Linked DNA regions of Tribolium castaneum. The protein of the gene in region 1 interacts with the protein of each later gene in a pairwise test. Links are inferred from orthologs where the notes say so. Each region holds a gene or a part of one and is shown in the gene's direction. Other genes may lie near its edges.

Region 1 (3,057 bases):
ACCGTTTACGTATGCACGGGCAATGGGTTCTTGGGGTTAACACACCCTCCCATCAGAGTCACCCTTTGTGACGCCCCACAGCCTACCGTATTTTGGATAAAATCAGGGAAATTGCTCTCAAGGATCCTCATCCTTTCGCGTTTGAGATCAGGGATTGCGTGCGTGGACAAGTAACATTTTTTCGATTTGTAGACTAGGACCGGGAGACCTGGGGCAAGGGGGAGGTTGGCGTCCCAGCGGTACACTTCCGGTTTGCCTTCGTACCGGAAGAACACAGCGGTACCAAGATCAGTACCCAAGATAATGATTTTGCCGTCTTTAGACCCACTGTCCGTGATTTTACCCGCTGTGCATCCAGCTCTGAGATAATCAGTCCGGATTGAGAAAACTTTAGGTGATGAGAGGTAGGAGAAGATGATGAAGTTGTTCCCACACCCTTTCTGGATCAGGGCAATGTAGAGAACGTCGCGTTTGCCATTCCCGACCACAGCCTTCGGGAGCACCACCCTGTAGCCCCTGTTTCCAGCAACATCAAACACTAGAATGGATCTAGTCGCCGCGTCGCTGACGTAAGCATAGGGGCGTCCATCGGGGGCGTATTCCACGGCGATGTATTGCAAGCGGGAGGCCTGGGCCACCAATCCCGACAAGTCCAGCGTCTTGACGACCTTTCCGGTTCGCAGAGAGATCGCGACGACTTTAGGGGGACAGCGCCTGATTGGCGTCTCGAGAGTGTTGACCACACCCACGTCCAACACCCAGAGGACCTCATTGGCGTCGGCGAAAATGTCAACGACTGATTGGAGCGCGTTGCAGTTGCCCTCCTCCTGGGTGGACCAGCATGGGAAGGGCGTCAGAGTCGCCTCGCAGCCTTTGTGCTTCAGGGAGAGTTTGGCCAAAGTGGCGGGAACTCCGGGCTTGTAGCGGGGCAGGGCCACGATGACGTCGTCTTTGTAGATCTGGGCGCGGGTCGCAATGGTGTTCTTCTGGATGAAGCGGCCCGAAGAGCGGTAGATGGACTTGGTGGCGCCGTTCGGCCACTCGAAGTTGCCGCCGGTCCATTCGACAGGACGTACGATCTCCTTGTCGCAACTTGCCGAAATGGCGGCGATTAGAGTGCACAAAATGGCGACTTGTCGAAGCATGCTTGATCGATTGATTGATTGGAGCGAATGATGGAGGGCCTTAACTTTTGGCGGCTTTTATCCAACCTGAGGTCAAGCCAGACGTGCCACAGGTGAGGTCGTTGACTCAAACCTGAATCAACAATTTTGCAATCATGGCCGAACTAAACAAACACACCGACATGACCAAAACCAAAACAAACACTCGGGTATAAAGCACGGGAGCCGCTTCAGACGTTATTCACTCATCTTCTCGTCCAACAACAAGTCCAAGTAAGAAATGTGGCAAATTCTGGTGCTTTTGGCGGTTTTTGCCGAGGTCCACTGCGACTGCAACAAGAACCTGATCCCGGACTTGAGCTACAAGCTCAGTGGCACCAACTTGGCGTTCCCATGCGAGGCCACCAAGAACATCTATCTCCAGACCGGACGTTACGTCCCGAAGAACGTGATCGGGACCCGAATGCAGATCTTCAAAGAAGACGCAATTGTGGCCCTTCCTCGGTTCAAGCACGGCGTCCCTTTCACCCTTGCTAAGTTCAACCTGAAGCAGCGTGGGTGCCATGCGACCCTCCAGCCCTTCCCATGCTGGGCCATCCAGGAGGAGGGTAACTGTGACGCCTTGCAGAACGTGGTGGACATCTTCCTGGACCCCCTGGACATCCTCTGGGCTCTGGATTTGGGCATTTGCAACACTTTGGAGCAACCGGTGAGGAGATGCCCTCCCAAGATCGTCGGGATCAACGCTGCCACCGGCCAAGTGATCAAAACCGTGGACCTTTCGCCCTTCATGACCCCACAAAGTCGCTTCCAGTACATGATTGTTGACTACTCCAAGGACGGCAAGGCTTGGGTTTACGCTAGCGATGCTGGTGCTGGCGGTATCCTGGTTTACGATGTTTTCGGCGGGAAGGGCTACAGGGTGGTGTTACCGGCTGCGGCAAGTGCCGGTGGTAACAAAGACGTGCTCTACATTGCCCTCGCCCGGAAATCCTGCGGGAACGTGCTCTACTTCACCTACTTGTCCTCGCCCAGACTTTTCAGTATCAAGGTTTGCTACTTGCAGAGCGGGCAGGCTAATGGGGCGATTGTCGACGTTGGGGCGAAGCCTCCCGGCACCAGGATCGTGCTTTTGGGGACTGATAACGGCGCCGCGATCTTCTTCAGGTACAAGGGAGAGTCGGATATTTACATTTGGAACACGGATACTGCCTTCAAGCCGGAGAATTTCCTCTTGGTGCAAAAGGGTGGGGAATGTCGGTTGTCGACTCAGGTGGTGCCAGGGTATAAGAGGCTTATGTGGGCTATTGAGAGCAATTTCCATGATTATATTTGCAATACTGTGGGCTGTTTGGGGGCGAGCATGGCTGTGCACCCGCTTATCAAAACGTGCGATTGAAGTTGTTGAAAAATTTGCTGTGATTGGTTATTAAATCGTTGAATGATTAAATTGAGTTTTATTTTTACTTTCCGAGCTCGAGGCAACGGAAGTGCGTATGCACGTACGATATTACCGTTGCTGCAAAATCCTTCAATTTCTCCCAAAATTTTCCCAAATTTTTTAGTTCGGATTTGCTTTTGAAATTTTGTTTTATTTTTTTTATTTTTGCTTGATCTCCGTGTTCGGAGTAGTTATTTGCCAATAACACTGAAACGGAATCCAAGTATCCAAGAGTGGCAAGAACAATCGAGTTATAATAATCACTGATGACATGAAAATTAATAAGATTGTTTAAAGTTTTTCGACGTTAATTAAGTTTTGGTAAAGTTTTACTACTTTTAGGTACGCACACAGGGTCATAAAAAATGCCATTCTTTTTATATTTTGTTAATTTTTCAAACATTCGTAAAATGTTATGTTATCCAAAGGTTTGAATAGACATTTTCAAAAAAGTAGATTTGCTTGAAATAGTCTACGTCATTTTTAAACTTT
Region 2 (3,816 bases), on another chromosome or scaffold:
TTGGACTCATTCAATAATTTAATGGAGTAATGTGAATGGTTGGTTTAAATCTGAAAGCAGTCAATAAATAAACCTTGTTTTTTAAACTGCCTTTCTTAATGCTTCCTAAGTCAAAGTTTTAGTGAAAAAATTGGCGGCAGCTCATCTCAACTGCGACAAATTATGTTTATTTATAGTTTTTTTATCTAAAAATTTCGTTAAAATTTTTATGTTTTTTCACTTCTACACTTTGAACGCGTTATTATCGAATGCCTAAGGTTCCTCAGGACATACGTACCTACAGGTGTCAATGCCTTGTGTCTAAATAGAGAATTTATTCCTTACTAAAACAGACAGACTGCACATACATATAAGAATAGAGGTATAATGGTCCAAAATTCTTCTCCAGATGCTTTTTTACAATTATTTTTAACGTCTACTAAAAATTAAAAAAATACTTCTAAATTTTCTCCAAATTCTCTTTTAGAGAATTTTACTAACACTTCTTCTAAATTCTTCAAAATAATCTTTTTCGTTGATTCACTTCTTTTTGGATTATGTTAAGTATATTTTGAATATACAATTATACCTACATTCTTTACATTGGTTTATAAAGTCTTCTCTAGATTTTTTTGTGGAAATATTATGTGGACTATAGGTATAGGTTTTATTATTTTATAAACCAAAAAACTGTCGAGAAATCGACGGAAAATGAAAGGTTTTTTTCATTTAATTAACATGTTTTTTTAGGTTTTAGAAATTTTTCGAAAATTCGAAATTTTTTTGGAATTTTTATTCGAGAAAAAAAAGTCGATAAATCAGAAATCCTAATTATAGGTGGATTATAGGTGTTTTTGTAGTAACTTAAAAATCTTAGAGCAGGACATTTGGGTTATAAAAAATAAGACAAATCTGGACACGAACATAAAACAGGGCACAACTGTAAAAACCTAAACCTGTTCTGGCTAAATCATGACGGTCTTAGTCAAAATACCTTATAAAACTAGGATCATATTATACTATATTATTACGATACAAAACGCATATTGTGATGTAGTGATGGCCTACAAAGTAGAAAAAATATTTTTTAAACTATTGTTCTAGATTTTACTCTACTCTTTTTTATACTCAATTCTAGTTATATCTAGAATTTTTATTCTTTAGCAGTGTTTCTGTATACAAAACTTATGATTTCAAAAACAAAGTTGACTAACCTAAGACAGCATTATTTCCTCTCACAGCAGTATTCTGCTTTCATTATAAATTTATCTACAAAATGTTTGGAATAATATTCTTTATAAAGCCTTTACATGATATTAAACCAAGTAACCAAGTTTTTAAATAATTTTAAATGGGTCTAAAAGTTCTTTAATTAATCGTCAAAAAATGGGAAAAATTCACTATGTTGGCAACAACGGACAAGACGAAAGTAACTAGCAAATTTCAAAATTTCGCTGTCATACTTGAGAATGTGAAATGGATTCAGATCAAATTAATAAATATACTTTTTTGACGACATACAGGAAGGATTATGTGAAAAAGCCGATAAAACAGTATTATCCCACCTGTAGTCTTCTCGCTTTTTATAATTTTGTTCAAGTCTACGGGCGGAGGCAAAAAATCAAGAGTTTGAGGACCCCATCAGTGAAGGATTTAAGGAGTTTTTAATTTTGGATAAAACAGATCTAAAACCACCGAACGAAAACGGCGACGAATACTTGGAAAAAGTTCCTTTCAATCTTCCAATTATTTTATTGACAATAACAAAATTCTAGTTCAAACAAAAATACAAAGAGATTGCAAGGATTCACTTTCAAGAACCGTTAGATAAAGATGCCATAAGGAAAAATAAAGTCACAAAAGGGGCCGTTACCGAATACCAGATGAGCTATTGTGACATTGGTGCGAGAAACGCTCACTGAAGACAAAACTGACTGCTTTTTTTAGAAAAAGATACTCAATTCAACTTGGATAAACGCAACAGAAAATTCACTTTGGCAGATGATGCGGAAATACCGTTAACAACTTATGGAATTTATTTCAGAGATCAGACAAAGGCTTTGAGACCTCCGCTCATTATCATACCGTCAAATACTTTACACACGCATGGTAATTTGGTGAAAAAATACAAATTTGTGATGATGGTAACATTCCTCGACTTTAGGAAACCTCGCCTGCAGTCACTACATCAGCGAATACACGGACCACATTGGCACATTTGGCGAATTTATTTTAGAAAAAAGCATCCAAGGACGCAAACCTCCCCCCGAAACCTGATTGTCAAAATTGTGTCAAAATTTCAGTTCAATAAAATTTTTCGTTCAAAATTCGCAATGGTTCTCGATCAATTTCAAACCACATACAGAAAGGACTACATATGGCCTTACGTGCGCGCTTACGGACTAAAGTAACGCAATTTTTCCGTGAAAAAAAATTATTCCATGATTTAGGACAACTCCTGCGTTACCTGAAGCCGGCGACCACCTCACGTGCGAGTGCCACTGTCCAAAAATCGACAAAACTAAACAAGTCGGGCTCGACCAATCCGAAGCCGCATGGAGTCGTCTAGGCCCCATGGGCCCCCTTCTAGACCCCAAAGTGTACCCTGTGAAAGTGGGCGCAAGCCCCGAATCACAAGTCAGTCGCTTCAACCAACCTAACGTCTACTTGCAAAAACTGAAAGACAAGTTCCCCTACATTTACGAGTGTTTGAGGAATGCACCACCTGATGATCTGATCTCGCGTATCAATCGCGATCGGCTAAGGACCACCTACCAAGTCGATTATTGCAAATTACGTAATTATTTTTCCGAGTTTTGGCGCAAAAAATAAGTTATTTTAGAGGAGTATCCTGACGCTCCTTACGACGAGCTGTTGCGAGCGGCTGGAGTGTCTGGAATCGCCCCATGTCCTGCCCCTGTGCGACTTCCTGGCGACCCTTGCAGGCCCAACCAGAGGTCCATCGCCTACCGTCCTGCGGTTATCAGTAACCGGGTTGGGGGCGGTAAGAGCGAAGGCCGGTCAAGAGGCGGGGACGACAACGCCATGAGCTCCTACTGCGGTACTTATTTCGATTGATTTTCCCAAAATAATGAATTTGAATCAGCTGGAAGCTGTCGAGGGCCTCTGGGTTCAATGACAGCCGGCGCGACGGAGTACCAAGACGCCATATCCCGTCTCGGCCAGATGATAATGCGTGACAAAATCCACTTCTCTCTCCCCAAAAAAATAATCTAGCCGTCGTCCAAACAATTTTTATTTGCCCTGCCACTCGGAAAATGGATTTCGTTACGATTTTGACAAGATTGTCACAAAATTTCGTGTGTTATTTATTTGTAAAGTACTTGTTCGGTCTCCTCCGTCCCAAATTGTCGTCTTTTAGCATGCTTGTGTATCAGAAACAATAGTAAGGCCAAGAAACCAAATTTGCAGTGATACGAAATGACCGTGGACAAGGAAACTTTCTTGACCAACTACCGGAAAGACTACAAATGGCCCAGTTTCGTGCCTTCGGTGGCCAAGTAAGTTTGTGACTATTATGCCAGTTGAGTATCTTCAATGAAGAACAAAAGGTCAATTCACTAGCAGTTGTGAATTTGTTCAATATGTTGGGCTTCTCGAAACAGATTTGTGAACCACTTAAGAAAATTGCAACACAATATGTTAAGTAATTTCGTCAATACCTTTGGGAGAATAGAAATACTTGGTATTTCTGATCAATTTGGTCAAATCCAAAAATTTTCAGTTACTTTGATAAAAAATCAGCAGTGAAGTCTCAGTTTACAAACTTTAATGATAAAAATGGTGAAAATCCAATTAGCAAACTAAACAGAGAAA

Evidence for each region. The genes of interacting proteins can lie anywhere in the genome.
Region 2: the proteins of yellow-g (region 1) and uncharacterized protein LOC103312874 interact in a two-hybrid assay, tested with the Drosophila melanogaster proteins (2 studies listed by BioGRID). The link is inferred for Tribolium castaneum from reciprocal best matches to the Drosophila melanogaster genes yellow-g and CG8813.

Annotation. Positions count from the first base shown.
Region 1 is NC_087399.1:8,621,089-8,624,145, reverse strand, and holds yellow-g (yellow-g precursor), read left to right. Parts: upstream 1-1,386; 5' UTR 1,387-1,404; coding exon 1,405-2,523; 3' UTR 2,524-2,549; downstream 2,550-3,057.
Region 2 is NC_087402.1:9,800,941-9,804,756, forward strand, and holds uncharacterized protein LOC103312874, read left to right. Parts: upstream 1-1,407; 5' UTR 1,408-1,532; intron 1,533-1,579; 5' UTR 1,580-1,706; intron 1,707-1,754; 5' UTR 1,755-1,881; intron 1,882-1,926; 5' UTR 1,927-2,088; intron 2,089-2,143; 5' UTR 2,144-2,312; coding exon 2,313-2,386; intron 2,387-2,429; coding exon 2,430-2,776; intron 2,777-2,821; coding exon 2,822-3,040; intron 3,041-3,085; coding exon 3,086-3,216; 3' UTR 3,217-3,314; downstream 3,315-3,816. Other genes in the region: uncharacterized protein LOC103312842, read left to right, coding at 3,421-3,500.